Schizosaccharomyces pombe: one gene and its partners. The protein of the gene in region 2 interacts with the protein of the main gene of each other region in a pairwise test. Each region holds a gene or a part of one and is shown on either strand. Other genes may lie near its edges.

Region 1 (4,812 bases), on a different chromosome or scaffold from region 2:
ATCTTTTATTTCTTCATAGGATCCTGTGAGACCAACGATTTTAGGATTGAAATCTTCAAGGTATTCAGCCATTTCTTGCGGAGGATCACGGGCTGGATCACAGGTTATGAAAATAGGATAAACCACGTCTCCAACAACATTGTTTACAATATCAATAGCTGCTGACATTTTGTCGAGCTCGTCGGGGCAAATGTCGGGGCATCTGGTGAAACCAAAGTAGATTAAGGAAAATTTTCCCTTGAAATCGTTATCAGTAACTCGATTTCCATGATGATCAATTAAAGAAAAAGCACCTCCTAATTGGGGACGACCTATGGTAGCCAAAACCTTGTCGTTTTGCCTCTCCAACACTTTTTTCTTTTCATGTTGGAAATAAGCATAAAGGCCAACGCTTGTTGCAGCTGCAAGAAGCAATGCTCTTATAGAAATCATTCCACGCCATGATTGGTATGTCTGCGTTCGATTGTCAGTAGCTAGATTTTTGCGACCGTCGGCAAAACGCGCTAGGCACGTACGATTCAAAGGAAATCGAGGACGAATCAAGCTGTAATGACAATGCCTAGAGAAAACTAAACCCCTTCGAAACATTACTTGATTTGAGTGATTGCCAACAATCGATTCAAAAATCGTAATATTTGGACAAGACAAAAAACTGAAGTTAAAACAGTAACAAAAGTATAACCAAGACTAGCAAGTTTTAAAAAAATTTAAAATCTTTTCTGTCTCTTCAAATACAAAACGGAGAAAACAATTTCTCACAAAGAATAAGCCTCTCCAAGTTAGTCCAATTTCACGTCAGTATGGGTATTTGGGTGGTAATGAAGACGTTGAAAATAGAATTTCACCAAAATTACTGCAAACATTTTAGCGTTCAAAAAAAACGTAATTTTATCGCTAATCCTTTAAAGAGTTCATATGCATATAGCCGCTTCTCCAATGCTGTAATTTCAATGTAATCTAAGTTTTAATACGAATGAAAATAGACACAAAATATGAATTTCGTCAAGGATCAGAATGACTTATAAATGAAAGAATCATTACTCAAACGGTTACTTAGCTTGTTCAAATCGCTATATTATAGTATGTGATTATTGAATATTTTTTTTTGGAAGAATAAAGACCATGCATACCGTCTATGCGGCTTTGCTGGAATTGTCAAATATACACAACTTGTGAGATTTATTTTTATTTTTGACAAATAATAAATTTCCGTTGGAAACCAATTATACTGCGCTGAGACGCATTTGTTGAGAGATTGAAAATTCAATTCACACAGCATTCTAAAGCACCAAAATCATTTTTTTAAAAGCCCAGATTTCAAGTCAGGATACAAAAATATTACTTCTACTTAGGGATGTTTTCAGGTACCTGAAGTGAGATTTGAAATTGAAAAATATCGTCTGGATAACTATACTAAGGACCTTTTTTATTTATACGAAAACACAGCTAGTGCCATGCTTTTTTGTATGTTTTTACGAATATCTGAAAGCAAAGGCTCTACATACGGCGAAATTTAATTGAGACATAACAAATGGTTAGAAATTCCTATTTCATCAAATTGTTCGATATTTTGTAGCCATACCTAGGAAAAAATTCTTTCTCAAATTTTCAATATTTTTTCCTGATACATTGAACTTGACAGTTCAAATGTTCTAAGTTAAAAATAATTCCACTTAATAACTTGCTCACATAATTCAATTTTTTGAAAAATTCTAACGAAAACTTATGGCACACAAGTTCTCATTTTACTATATAAAAGGATTTTTTTAAAAAAAATTGCATTGTTTTTCAGCCCCGGTGGAAAGCATTGGAATTTTGGCGCCACGATCTTCGTATGTTTTTTCCATATATATACCTACCAGGTATACACACCAAGCGGTAGTTGTAAACCTACCTTCCGCCATTACCACTAATCAGCAAAACTTTTAAAGATTGATAAGAATTAACTGAAATAATTTTTATTTGAGATCTTAAAGAGTTAAGTAATAAATTTCCATAGAAATATGGATCATAAAAACTACCTGAATCATGTTATTCGTGGAATCTACAACGACTTCCAATTCCTTGTTGATGAGGGCGTAGTTGAAAGGAGTGCTTTGGATTGGGTTCACGCAAATATCCATTTACAGGACGGTCCCGCTAGTCCTGTAACTGCTCCAGCTGCTCAACCTGTTGAGTCCTCAGTACCCCTTCCCTTGCCCAAGCGGAAGAGCTCTGTGGAAAAAAGAGCAGGATCGGTAGCGTCTGCCGTAGCAGCAATGTCTTTGTCTCAAAACTCTGGAGAAAAGAGGACACCCGAGGAACCTCGTAAGCTGCCTGGAGTGCCTGCCCCACAGAAGCAAAGCGAGGCTTCAAGTGTCAATTCATCTACCGAGAAGCTTCCCCCTCCTCCCAGCTATCCTGGACCCAATACTGCCCATAAGAACGTTGAGCGGGTTTTGGCGATGTACGACTTTCCTGGCCCTGATGCTGGTGATTTAGGTTTCCATGCTGGCGAAGTTATCATTGTACTTGAGCATGTCAATAACGATTGGTGGCGTGGTGAATTGAATGGAAAGGAAGGAATCTTCCCTTCTAACTATGTGCGTTTGTTGGAAGATTCTGCCGTTAAAGCTCAACCTCCTCCTCCTCCACCACAGCAAAACTATCCCCCAGCAGCATCTTCTTCGGCACCTCCCATGCAGTATCAGCAAACAGCATATCCACCTCAGCAAGCACCATATCCACCTGTCCAAGCCTATCCTCAGGCGCCTCAACAACCCATCGTGGTTGCACAACCGACCGAGCACAAGCACTCATCAACATTCAAGAAGATTGGTAGTGGTTTGGGTTCTGCATTTGTATTCGGTGCTGGTGCAACTGCTGGCGCTGATCTCGTCAATTCCATTTTTTAAATGCGAGTTCGTTTCTTTCCTTTTTCTATGCTTTTTTTCTTCCTTTATATAAGTAAAACTTTCTGTGTGGTTGAACTAGCACCTGTGTTTGTTATCGTTGGTGCGCAGTTGTTTTTTATTTTGAAATTTCCAAGTAGAAATTTCCGTATATCGCGAATGCATTTCCCTTGTTCATGTTTACTCCTTTGGTCTTTTGTCTTTTTCTCGACTATGCTTTATGCTTATAAAGCAACACCGCGGCATAGCTGCTTCTTCATAGATTGAGACACCTCATTTATGTGTATGAATTCGATATCCAAACATTGTTGCATATTCTTTATGATTATCGATGCGTACTATTAAATACGCATGTCTCTTGACTTTTGTTTATTTTTAGTGTTTTTCTTTTTACGACTTTCATACCGTTTATATTTTAATTCCATAATAAAAAAAATAAATTACAAAGCAAAAATATGATTAATAGGGAACGAATGACAGTGTATTAGATTTGTTAATATGCTATGGTAAATTGTTCTATTGCTTAACGTATATTAAAGCAAAAAATAGTAAACGGATGAGGAAGTATAAATTAGGTAGCCTTTGTTAGAGATTTAATTACGATGTCCGGTCAGAATCGTTTCCATTAAGCAATAAAAAAGAATCGACGTGGAAATCCCATGAATGTAAAGACTCACATTATTAAAATGGGAAGATAAAGTAAAAACTGGAGACAGCGAATGTCCAACAAAAATGGAAGATGTATGAATAATGATGAATCAAATTCGGTAACACGTTGATGGGGATTCCAAGAGAAAGTAGCAGAATTTCAAAAAAAAAAGAGAACGACAATAAAAATGAACCTTTGTTTAAAAATAAAAGAAGTCAACACACAATAAAGAATAATGAGACTATGAACAGAAATGAAACTCAAGGGAGAATTGTTATAAAAAGCGTCTGAAAGCACTGGGGAATGAATGAAAGGACTAAATTTGTTTTAATTTTTTTTCTTTTTTGTTGTAAAAATGGAAAACATGAAAATAAGTATGCAAGTTCAAATATAATAGCTGTATAGTTAGGATGAAAATTTCCTATAACAGCGGTTTAATTAATAAAAATTAATGCTCGAAAGAGAATTTCTTTCAATTTTTATGTGGTGTTCATATTCCCCTTCGGCATTAGTCATTCAGGATCGAAGAAAATTAAGCTAATTTAAGCAGTTGCTTAGCGAGAGGTGTTGTTTACACGGTCGGTGATGTCAAAAGTCTCGTTAGGTCGAGGAACATGAAATAGGTCCAGGATGGTTAGTTCGTTAGTGAGGTCTGAGGGAGAAAGAACTCTTTGGACAGGCTTAATCCTATAAACCTTTTCAGTCTGAATATTTTCTTTATTTTCATGTTCAATGCGTTGTGCAGGGGTTCGGCGAACACGTTTAGTGCGTTTCATGGGAACGCTATGTACCGATCCAGCTTTGGTAGAACGGCCGCGTTTGCTTGTAGAGCTGATGAAAGTGGTACCGGCATGGTCAACAGTTTTGGTGTTAGTGTTAGTACTGGAGCTTCCAGTACTAGTTCTGGGAGAAGTTGAGCGTCTTGCCGTATTGGTGCGATTTGGTAAAGCAGAAGCGCTGCTTGCTGGGTGACGGCTGTTGGAGGTGTTTTGAGAGCTCATTGTTAGAAGTAGAAAGTGATTGTAAAAGTAGAATATAGTTTGATGTGAATTAGATAATAGAAAGAATAAGAGGATAAGAAAATGGATGCAGAAATGAGCGACTAAGCACTCATACTTATACTAACGCAGCACATTTCTTTCAAACCCATGGCTCACGGAGGTTTTTCAATTTCGTGTAAAGTATTTGATATTTGCAAATGAAACAAAAAAAACTATTAAACAAATAAAAGATTATTTTTTTGTATACAATCACAGTACAGAAAGTGAAAAT
Region 2 (6,838 bases):
TTATATATTAAATATTTATTATTTATTAATTTTTGAAAGGATAATGTGTGAGCAACATAGTTGTTTTCGAATAGCAGGAATTTCAAATTACCCATATAGAAGACATCCAGTATTGAAAAAGGTAGAAACAAAAAATGAGTTGGAAATCAATTAATACATCAACTATGGTTAAGTATTTGGTTTAACGGACGCTGTAAAATTTTGCCTTTCAGAGGATATATTTCAACTAGTAGGGGAAAAAAGAAGTTCCTTGCTTCAGTAAATTTATAAAATCCACTGGAGCTTTTTTACAAACAAATTTTCATTATCTACAATTGAAACTGCAATTTGGAAAGATTGCACGTAAAAAAAAAAAGGAAAGAACATGCAAGAGTTTCAATTGTAACACCCTTCTGCAATAATCGGCCAATGTTGTCGATAAGATATAAAGGCTTTAAACAACCAACCACTGTATGTTACAACCTTGTGCATTTTGTTTCTTATCTTAATAACCTTCCAGATGTAAACATTCGCATTCATCCACCTAAATTGAATCCTAACGCTAACTAATTTATTAATATCCCCAGGCAAAAAAAGTGGATCATTAACAAGAATAGGAAACATCAGGAAAAGCTGATAATATGATCTAAAATCAGTTTGCTCAAATATTTGATCCAAATCATAAATGCAATATGAAAGAGCACGGCGAGTTTTTTTATTGCAATAGTTAAATGTAACAACCAGTAAGCAAACTCTTTTTTTTGAATAATAAAACCATTATTGTAAACTTCATAAATCGCTTTCATAATGTATGTTAACCAACATCGCGAATCATTTCAAGCGATGCATTGGTTTGACAATTTATAGTAATTGGAAGAATGAGTTAAGCATATATTCCATAAACTTATAGTGAAAGAGGATGATTAAAGAAAGTTGGTGCTAATTTTTTAAAAAACGCCGCAGCTTCTCTGCATTGGTGATTTTGGTAAAGAGGTTTTCCAACTGTAGCGACAACTACATTAATAAAGCAATTAGACTTCGCTTTCGGCCTCCGTTTCTTCCAAGGGAATGTCATTATTATCGTTGGCACCTCCAATCGCATTTGCTATACCTCCTAGTCGGGTAAGTAAAAAATCATTCATACAGTTGGTTGAATACACATACCTAGGAAAGAAGCTATACCATTCCTGATAAATTTGGGCATCCTTTTGAGAGCACCTGGACATTCTGATACGGTTAGAATAAATTACAGGAATATTGAACAAACCCATTTCGTAAAAGAAAAGAAAATTGCCTATAACAAAGAGTGAAGTGGCTTCAATTTCGTAGCCTGTCCCGTCGATATGTTTATCAAATGAATGCATCAAACCTTTCTGTACAATAACGACACAACTTTGTACACCCAGCATTTGAAACAAACCAAAAAGCATATGCTTGAGTGTCCAAAATGGAAGACGAACTGCGTGTTAGCGGTCAGTAATGGTAACTCCATAACTTCACATACCATATAGTAAAAATAAAAGTAAAGCAGCTGAAATACTGCATGTAGAACAGATGAGAGCCTTGTATAAGTTCAGGTTACCGAATTTGGCGCGAAGAAAAAGTGTATAGCAAATGACTACCCATAATAGCCAAATTATTACTACCCATTTTTCCCTTGAGTTGTACAAGCCGACCGCAGTTACCTTTACACATTGTGCCAAGAAATTTACAGTTACTTTAACTGCCTTGGCCCTTTTCATAGAAGTCTAATGAGTTAGTGACTGAAGGTAAGATTAACCCCATTGTCTCACTTACAAGTCAAGAATATTAAAGCCAAAGTGCAAACAAGACACCAAAATCCAAATAACGTCCATTCCGCTGCACCATAATTTTTAAAGAAAGCGTCTTTATACTTTAGATAACAAACTGCTAGAGCATTGAGTAGAACGATTGGAGTGAATGATATTAGTAGTTTAATCAAAAAAGGGGAAGAATCATCTGTCGTCCCGGAAGAATGGTTTTCTCTATGTATGTTAGGAGGATTGCTTACACGTGCGTAATCTGTTTAAATTAATATGATTGAAATACTTTAGTAAAGAAAGTGCATGTATCAAAGTGTGTGCATGCATGGCCGACTATAAACAATGATCACATCCAAGTTATTTTACAGCAATGGCAAGTTTCAACTTTCAATTGAGTAATTCCTTTCTTATTATTTACAATTCTTACCTGAATATGGAGGTAATGCGCCCTCTTCCTCTGAATTATATTCTGGAAGCAGGCCTTTTTCCAAATCGATTTCATGATCTGTCTTCAATTCATCTTCTTCATCTAGAGGACTTTTCAAGGAAGTGTAATTATTCTTCATTTCATCAAGATAATTCTTTATTTAATAAAACACATGCGCGAATTAATTGCTGTGATTGCGACAAACGAAACAGCGAAATCAAGAATATTCACTCTGGAGTTCAGTTCCCGCCGCTCAACATAAATAAATGAGCAATACTCGTTTCAAAGCAAACTGTTTTTTCAATAATAGCAAGTGAAAAGTAGAATTCCAAAACTCATTTTCAAAATGCAATTGCTTCTGACACATTTATTTTGTCACTGCCCTTTTTATTCACCCCAACTTAGCTTTCCTTAAACGTTATAGGGTTCAAGACATTAACGCAGTACAGCAAAATTACAAATGCGTGTGTACCGCCTTATTTGCCAGCAGCCATTTAAATTAATAAATAAAAGTATGATTAATGTAAAATGACTTAGTAAAATCAATTTACTCCTAAATTATAAATCAACATAATTTTCAACGTTGTTTTGCTAGGTCTTATTTGCCAATACTGTACAGGCAATGTTATTATAGTCGTTTAAATAACTGCATTCCTTCACTTTCATCGTAAACAAATTCTTTTTAAAAAATTGAGGCATTAACATTTCAACAATGAGACTATACTTAGAGTAAGCATAGGGATATGTAGGAAAAGGATTGAACTTCGTCAAAAGTTTAGCGACTGTAAACAGCACGTCAAAAATTAAAAGCTCAGCAACGGCATCGCTGCTTCTCTTTTCCAATCTTTTAACTCAGAAAGCGTATATAGTTTCGATTGCACAACAGACGAAGCTGCCAGATTAAAAACCTTACCTCGATAATCTCTGGACTCATCTCAGCAGAGGTTCGGTGCATTTAATAATTACATTTTTTTTGGCTAAAGTAAGGTGCAGCGCGAATATGGAATTATTTTTTTATGTTAAGTATTTATGTTTGTTCACAGCCAAGACACGATCATTGCCAGTAGCTCTTCTAGCTTCAAAAGAGGGAAATAGTTATCGTTTTTTCAATTTTTTATATAATAAAAACGCTAGTTTATACTACAGCTGAAAAGGTTAAGTCGCTTTTTTCGATACCGAGTTTCATATTGCTTAAGCCGGCTCTATGTTCCTTCGTCCTCCATCCACCACCACACTTACTATATTTGTTGCGTTGCATTATAAAAATCACTTAACCTCCGCTAAACACATTTTCTTTTCGTCTAACCATGTCGGATATGATCAATATACGTGAAACAGGCTACAATTTTACCACGATTCTCAAACGGTATGTAATTGCATTAAACTGCTAAAAGAGTAATAGTCTTTAATTGATTATGCATCTAACATTTACTCATATAGACTGGAAGCGGCAACTTCTCGTTTGGAGGATCTTGTGGAAAGTGGTCATAAGCCTCTTCCCAACATGCATCGTCCTTCTAGAGATTCAAACAGTCAAACCCACAACATATCCTTCAACATTGGTACTCCAACGGCCCCAACCGTGTCGACTGGTAGTCCTGCTGTCGCATCATTACATGATCAAGTTGCGGCTGCTATCAGTCCTCGGAACAGAAGTCTTACATCCACCTCTGCCGTTGAAGCGGTTCCTGCTTCCATTTCCGCCTACGATGAATTTTGTTCCAAGTATTTATCTAAATACATGGAATTGAGTAAAAAAATTGGTGGTTTGATTGCCGAACAAAGTGAACACGTCGAGAAGGCTTTTAACCTTTTACGTCAGGTTTTGAGCGTCGCTTTGAAAGCCCAGAAACCCGACATGGATTCCCCGGAACTCTTGGAATTCCTCAAGCCTATCCAATCTGAACTGCTCACTATTACCAATATTCGAGATGAACACCGCACCGCCCCCGAGTTCAATCAACTTTCTACCGTCATGAGTGGAATTAGTATTTTGGGCTGGGTCACAGTTGAGCCCACTCCATTATCCTTTATGTCTGAAATGAAAGATTCGTCCCAATTCTACGCCAACCGTGTAATGAAAGAGTTTAAAGGTAAAGATGACTTGCAAATCGAATGGGTTCGTTCTTACCTTACTCTGTTGACTGAATTGATTACATACGTCAAGACCCACTTCAAAACCGGTCTCACCTGGTCTACTAAACAGGATGCAGTACCCTTGAAAACGGCTTTGGCAAACTTGTCTGCTTCGAAAACTCAGGCACCATCTTCTGGCGATTCTGCAAACGGCGGCTTGCCTCCACCACCACCACCACCTCCTCCATCTAATGATTTTTGGAAGGATAGCAACGAGCCCGCACCTGCTGATAATAAAGGTGATATGGGAGCGGTGTTTGCCGAAATTAATAAAGGCGAGGGAATTACATCCGGACTTCGTAAGGTGGATAAGAGTGAAATGACCCACAAAAATCCGAATTTACGTAAAACGGGACCCACTCCTGGTCCTAAGCCTAAAATCAAAAGCTCTGCTCCTTCTAAGCCAGCGGAAACTGCTCCCGTTAAACCACCTCGCATTGAGTTGGAAAATACTAAGTGGTTTGTTGAAAACCAAGTCGACAATCACAGTATAGTCTTGGATTCTGTGGAGCTCAACCACTCAGTGCAAATTTTCGGTTGCTCCAATTGCACAATTATAATTAAAGGAAAGTTAAACACCGTTTCCATGAGCAACTGTAAACGTACTAGCGTTGTAGTAGATACTTTAGTGGCCGCTTTTGATATTGCTAAGTGTTCCAATTTTGGCTGCCAAGTTATGAATCACGTTCCAATGATTGTTATCGACCAATGCGATGGAGGTTCCATCTATTTGAGCAAATCTTCGTTGTCGTCCGAAGTTGTCACTAGTAAATCAACAAGCTTGAACATCAACGTCCCCAACGAAGAGGGAGATTATGCTGAACGTGCTGTTCCCGAGCAGATCAAGCACAAGGTGAATGAAAAGGGAGAGCTTGTCTCTGAGATTGTACGTCACGAATAAGTTTTTCTCAGAGAGCTTTTTCAAGCTATATTCCTAACGGTTTCATAGTAAAGATTTAAGTTGATTTGTCTAGAGCTTTTTATTCATCTTCATCTTTTTCTTTTACTGCTACTAACGACACACTTTGCTCGATGTTTTGTAAAATTGATCAATCAAATCTTCGGCTTATTTCAGAGATACAAATATTTGTTTTCCCTTCGCTTTCGACTTTCCGATGCGATTTACCTTTTGCCCAAATATCCCTTGGACTCAATGTGTACTTCCCCACATACATCTTTATATTGAATGGGATCGGATAATGCGCGGGAAAAGTTGTTGTCCGTACCACGAATTGCTACGTTGACTTTATGATATATGCGTGCATGCATACATACGAATAGTGGTTATTTTACGAGTTAAACGATATAGAAGCTTAAATTTAGTGATTGTTTGTGTGCAAATAGAATTTATGGATGACAATGATAAGGCTGTTGTATATGACGCTTCCTCATTTCTTTTTCCCTGTTGATTTTAACTCGAAAGGATTTTAAGTGTCTTCCGTTCGCCAATTGAATTCATCATCATCTTCTTTTTGTTTTTGTTTTTCAGTCTAAACAAATCCTCTAGCTAAGGTATCATTTTCTCGATTGCTGTTTTGCTCATGTTATGTTTTTATGAAAAAAAGCCATGCTGTTCAATAAAAGAGGAAAGGAAGATTTTGGAAGTTTTATAGTTGAATGAGTTCATCTATAAATATATACATATATACATATATATAATATACAAAATATTTTTTCTTTGAGGCTTGAACTATAACTTTACAACTGTCACTTTCATTCTTACATTGTACAGCTGCCTGTATAATCTGTTTCCATTGTAGAGTTGAAATAGTACAGTAGCTTTTCTTTCTGCCAAATATTTACAGTAGTGTAGCAAGAAGCCACTATACGAGTTTTAGGAATTTATTCCGCATTGCTTTGCACTGTCCTGCGGTTTGCTATTTTAGCCAGTCGTCGTTCTTGACAAATCGGCGTTCGATCTTTAATGCCCGTTGAGATCGATTGCGTAATGCTACAACCTTATATTGAGTGTAAGCACTACCCCACAATTCGTATATATACTGTACCAACTCACTGTGTGATTCTCAACTTCAACATATCTTCCAAATAGTCAACGTATAATCAACAAAGCTCGGGACCTTGCCTAAAAGTATCTAAAACGACTTCCAAAAGCGTACCTCGAACTTGTTAAGTTTAAGGTAAGTAAAAGTGAGTATGCAAAACGATCAAGTTACATCCCAATTTGCCAGAAAAAATATTTTAAAAATGAATAAACCGACGTAAATACTACTCTTGAGACCTTTTTATACACACGAAAGTCGATATTTTTTTTGGAAAAAAGTCTTGACATAAACAGCTACGCCAGTCTTTATGTACCGTACCCGTTTCTCCGAGGTCACTAGGTACAGGACTTTCTGAAGGAATATTTTATAAGAGATGCTATACGCATATGCTTTTTTATGCTTAGAATCGGCATGAGGAGTTTGTTTGTAACCAGGATGTCGAGTAGCTTTGCTTTGCTAGTCAGTCCGTATAAACGTTATGGTGTAGGATGCGGCTACTCATGTTTGCA
Region 3 (5,034 bases), 160 kb from region 2:
TCGAAAGTAGAAATATCAATCTTGCAGCCTGCATATTTTCGAAGAACTTTACAGGTTTCATCATTTGTATCGTAAGAGTTCATTAAAATGAAAGGCACGGACACATCGTACCGTCTGTTAAGATATTCGATTTGGCGAATGCTAAGGTCGAGGAAACTTTGATTGTCACGAACCTCAATCATGGCTTTAGGATAATTCACACCCAACGCATTTCCCATACCTCCATTTAATTTAACAACTGCAAGCCGATTTAAGTACTTTCCAGCATTTTTGCATAACGGTAAATCACCGTAATCTATCATGTCTTCGGGTCCCAGAGGCCGGATAGAATCCCAATCACATTCATAACCTTTAACTGTGTGTAATAAATATCTTCTATACAAAGCAAAGAAGTTGTCCATTTGTATGCCAAACGTTTTTTTATCCGAAACTCTGGAATTCAGTACAAGTTTATCTAATTCGTTTTTCATCGTACTGGCAGATATGCTAACTGCAACACTGTCAAAGTCCAAAGTGGACTGTGATTTAAAATGAATTCGACGATGCAACATTTTGGAGTTTTGTCGATTCTCCCACTTTTTGGGGTGAGAGTGGTAGGATGAAATGAACCACTAGTTTTAACGATATACACTCCGATGTTCCAACGTGATCTTTTTCACTTGATATCCTCCTTGTTCAGATACTGGCGGATTCTTTTCTGCTATGGATTAGAAAGATAATTACGACAAGTTATTTTGTGTCAAAAATGTCCAAGTTTCTTTTATTGTGTATATCTATCACTAAGTCTTATTACAGTCAGTTCTCGACAAAAAGACTCAAAACTATTAGATACAATTTGTTTTTTATTCTATAAGTGAATTTAATAAAACTTCTCTGTATTAATTTGCATACAGTGACAAATCATTCTGTATGGTTTCGAAATAAGGGCAATATACCTTAAATAACAAACTGAGACACTTTATATCTATGTTTTACGTCTTTTGTTTTATTAAGTAGATTGGTAAAGATGCAACTTATTCAACTTAAATTCAAAACAAAGCAGATAAACAGAAAATCGTTTGCTTGGGCTGAAATAAACAAGTCCAAACTATGGTACTTAAGAAATTACTCGCAACGTTTAAGTTACTAGAAGATATAGAGCTTATGATTACAATGCTATGTTTGCATATCAATACTTCTATTGTTATAAGAAGTAGACTTTGCTTAAATGATTCTGCTGGAATTATCGACAACCATCAGAGTCAAAAAAATTCCTCATACTGCACAACTTTTTGACATGCATTTTTATTATCAGATTAAAACGTTCGCAATTGAAAATTTGATAAAAAGCTGTTTGTTCGCCTAAATTTCAGTATAGCTAGTTCAATGACTAGCTAGGTAATCAATTCAAGTATAGTGAAATGTCTATCACATAGAGTTATAAAGAAAATCAGCTATTTCTAAAAAACACTAACAGAGGATTTGAATTATTGTGGTCATTTATTACTTCATTAATTGTTTCGAGTAAGCCCTTTCTATGTGTTTCACTTGTAATTACCTATTGTTCAACATTCTTTTAGGTCTATTGTTTATAGTTAATAAAAATGAATCTACGTTCTATTGCGCTATATTTATTTAACACAGGCCGACGTAGTTCATTATTAAAATGCAGACTTTCTTATATTAGCTTAACGATTGCTAATCACATTTTGTCACACTGCTATGCAGTTGTTATAGGATAGTATTTAGTTTTTTATAACTCGCTTTGCTTATGATGGAATAAACTCCTTAGAGTCTTCAATAATTATTTACATATGACTTTACGTCCTTTTAAATATACATAGGCTTTTCTCACCTTTTCCACATAAACTATAAGATTCATACCAATAAACTACTTTAACAGCTATTTGCCGTAGTCTTCTGCAGCTCGGTAACCAGATTTCATCTAAAAGTAGTCACATATTTTCTTGTGGAGAGCAGTCACAAATCACTTAGTAGTACTAGAAGGATGCTTCGCCTTTGTCATTCACCACACGCCAAAAAATTTAATTGTAAAAAATGGGCAAGGAAAAGGGACATATTAACGTCGTTGTTATCGGTCACGTCGATTCTGGTAAGTCTACCACCACTGGTCACCTGATTTACAAGTGCGGTGGTATTGACAAGCGTACCATTGAAAAATTCGAGAAGGAAGCCACCGAGTTGGGTAAGGGTTCCTTCAAGTACGCCTGGGTTTTGGACAAGCTCAAGGCCGAGCGTGAACGTGGTATCACTATCGACATTGCCCTTTGGAAGTTCGAGACTCCCAAGTACAATGTTACTGTCATTGATGCCCCCGGTCACCGTGATTTCATCAAGAACATGATTACCGGTACTTCTCAAGCTGACTGTGCTGTCCTTATTATTGGTGGTGGTACTGGTGAGTTCGAGGCTGGTATCTCCAAGGATGGTCAAACCCGTGAGCACGCTTTGCTTGCTTACACCTTGGGTGTCAAGCAACTTATTGTTGCCGTCAACAAGATGGACACCACTGGCTGGTCCCAAGCTCGTTTCGAGGAAATCGTTAAGGAGACCTCCAACTTCATCAAGAAGGTCGGTTTCAACCCCAAGACCGTTCCTTTCGTCCCTGTCTCCGGTTTCCAAGGTGATAACATGATTGAGCCCACCACCAACATGCCCTGGTACCAAGGCTGGCAAAAGGAGACCAAGGCTGGTGTCGTCAAGGGTAAGACTCTTTTGGAGGCTATTGACTCCATTGAGCCCCCTGCACGTCCCACTGACAAGCCTCTTCGTCTCCCCCTTCAAGATGTTTACAAGATCGGTGGTATTGGTACAGTTCCCGTCGGTCGTGTTGAGACTGGTGTTATCAAGCCCGGTATGATTGTCACCTTCGCTCCCGCTGGTGTCACTACCGAAGTCAAGTCTGTTGAGATGCACCACGAGTCTCTCGACGCTGGTCTTCCCGGTGACAACGTTGGTTTCAACGTTAAGAACGTTTCCGTCAAGGATATTCGCCGTGGTAACGTCTGTGGTGACTCCAAGAACGATCCTCCCATGGGTTGTGCTAGCTTCACCGCTCAAGTCATCATTCTTAACCACCCCGGTCAAATCTCTGCTGGTTACTCTCCTGTTTTGGATTGCCACACTGCTCACATTGCTTGCAAGTTCGCTGAGCTCATTGAGAAGATTGACCGTCGTTCCGGTAAGAAGATTGAGGAGTCCCCCAAGTTTGTCAAGTCTGGTGATGCTTGCATTGCTAAGATGGTTCCTTCCAAGCCTATGTGTGTTGAAGCTTTCACTGACTACGCTCCTCTTGGTCGTTTCGCTGTCCGTGACATGCGTCAAACCGTCGCTGTCGGTGTCATCAAGGCCGTTGAGAAGGTTGCCCCTGGTGCCGCTAAGGTCACTAAGGCCGCTGTTAAGGCTGGCGCCAAGAAGTAAACATTTTTTACTTCGGATTTAAGTAGATCTTGAGTTGTTGTAATCAGGATAGGCTAGTGAATGTTATATTGTTGATTAATATAATTTGGTATACTACTCAGTAATTAAATTTACTTATAACTTAGGAATTGAAATTTAAATTGCATGGTTAAATATAGATTTGCAACGATAATTCTTTTTTTCATTTTTTAAGTGCAAAATATGTATATGTAGAACTAAGTGCGTACATATGGAGGACTTTGAATAGGTGTCGGAGACATAGCACGATTAAGATTCAACATATCAAGCAGAGGTACACGGTTGCTCGTTTGTCTTGTAAGATTTATTTCCGACGGAGAACGTACGACAGTACTAGCAGTGTGTGGCCTTGATAGAGCCTGTTTCAATGTGCTAACCATTTCTCCACGTTGTGATTGCTGGTGAATAGAAACGAGCGACTTGGTAGCATGAAGTAAAGGATTTTGTTGGTAATCCGAAGCCGGTGATATAAATGGAAGTGAATATTCTGAAGAAGAAGTAAAAGACTTTTCGCGAGACGGTTTCTTTAATTTTTGAATAATATCGGTGTACTTGGGGTGTCGCGATTGCTCAGCAAATAGTAGTCTAGAGTCCTCTGGGAATACTTTCGGGCTTTTCTCCAATAATTCATTTACAACCATGTCCAAAGGCAACATGACTTCCTCGGTAGAGGCATTTGTTAGTTTCTCCCAAGAATGCGTAGAAGAACCTCTGTTCAAGAGACTCGAAGGTAATGAGCTAGATAATGAATCAAGCCACTTTCGTCCACTTGACTGAAGAGTTGTGATCTTCAAATTCTCTCCAATATAGATGATATAATAAGCAGTAACCGCCTCGGCAATACAGCGAGGAGGATCATTTTCAAAGGGTCGTAGTCCGCGATACATAGCAGGTAATACCGCTGTTACAGAAACTGGACCATAAAGCTGGTAAAGCCTTTGGATGATGAGTTTTAGAATATAAAATTCAGACTGCACCGAAAACACCTTGAGCCAACGTTCAATATGCCAACTGGTTTCATATATAAAATCCCATAATACAGAAAATGATGTGATTGCACTTTTCCGTAAAATAGTATCGAAATTTATTAAAGATGGACGGAGAAAGCACAAAAATTCGTAGAACACCTCAGCAGTTTTTATTCGTACAAAAGGTGACTGGGAAGTGTGAAGACGTTCAGCGGATTTGGGCCAGCTATGCAACAAAAAGTCGGTAACTAAAGAGAGAGGAGCACTGGATTCTTTTTTTGTATTTAGCTTTTCATTTTGCAGCTTATGAAAAGCTGTTAAAGCTACCATTTGTATAGCAGAAGAAGTTTCAGAATTAGCAAGAGTGTCGATTTCTCGCCATACATCAGCAAATTCTTCATCGTAATATTGATGCTTAGTTAAACAGGTGATACAAACCAAAAGTAAATAAAGGCGCCTAGGGAGCTTTTCCGATGGAGATTCACACATATTATACCAAGTTTGGTCATCAGCATCGAATGAATTGACAGCGTTGATAAGATGCGACCCCAAATCACGTAACACGTCAATAACGGATAAGCCAGAAATTGAGTTTTTCGAGTTAAGAATGGAGTAAATCATGTATGGC

What was found. Proteins that work in one complex are often made in the same cells at the same time.
Region 1: the proteins of cap1 (region 2) and lsb1 interact in a two-hybrid assay, tested with the Schizosaccharomyces pombe proteins (one study listed by BioGRID).
Region 3: the proteins of cap1 (region 2) and tef101 interact in a two-hybrid assay, tested with the Schizosaccharomyces pombe proteins (one study listed by BioGRID).

What each region holds. Positions count from the first base shown.
Region 1 is NC_003423.3:719,535-724,346, reverse strand, and holds lsb1 (SH3 domain-containing protein), read left to right. Parts: upstream 1-1,892; 5' UTR 1,893-2,003; coding exon 2,004-2,894; 3' UTR 2,895-3,340; downstream 3,341-4,812. Other genes in the region: copper chaperone Sco1, read right to left, coding at 1-588; meiosis inducing protein Mei3, read right to left, coding at 4,095-4,541.
Region 2 is NC_003421.2:422,936-429,773, reverse strand, and holds cap1 (adenylyl cyclase-associated protein Cap1), read left to right. Parts: upstream 1-3,411; 5' UTR 3,412-3,497; coding exon 3,498-3,556; intron 3,557-3,630; coding exon 3,631-5,227; 3' UTR 5,228-6,022; downstream 6,023-6,838. UniProt on the Schizosaccharomyces pombe protein: The N-terminal domain binds to adenylyl cyclase, thereby enabling adenylyl cyclase to be activated by upstream regulatory signals, such as Ras. The C-terminal domain is required for normal cellular morphology and growth control.
Region 3 is NC_003421.2:266,483-271,516, reverse strand, and holds tef101 (translation elongation factor EF-1 alpha Ef1a-a), read left to right. Parts: upstream 1-2,000; 5' UTR 2,001-2,037; coding exon 2,038-3,420; 3' UTR 3,421-3,562; downstream 3,563-5,034. Other genes in the region: ugp1 (UTP-glucose-1-phosphate uridylyltransferase), read right to left, coding at 1-551; protein efr3, read right to left, coding at 3,636-5,034. UniProt on the Schizosaccharomyces pombe protein: This protein promotes the GTP-dependent binding of aminoacyl-tRNA to the A-site of ribosomes during protein biosynthesis.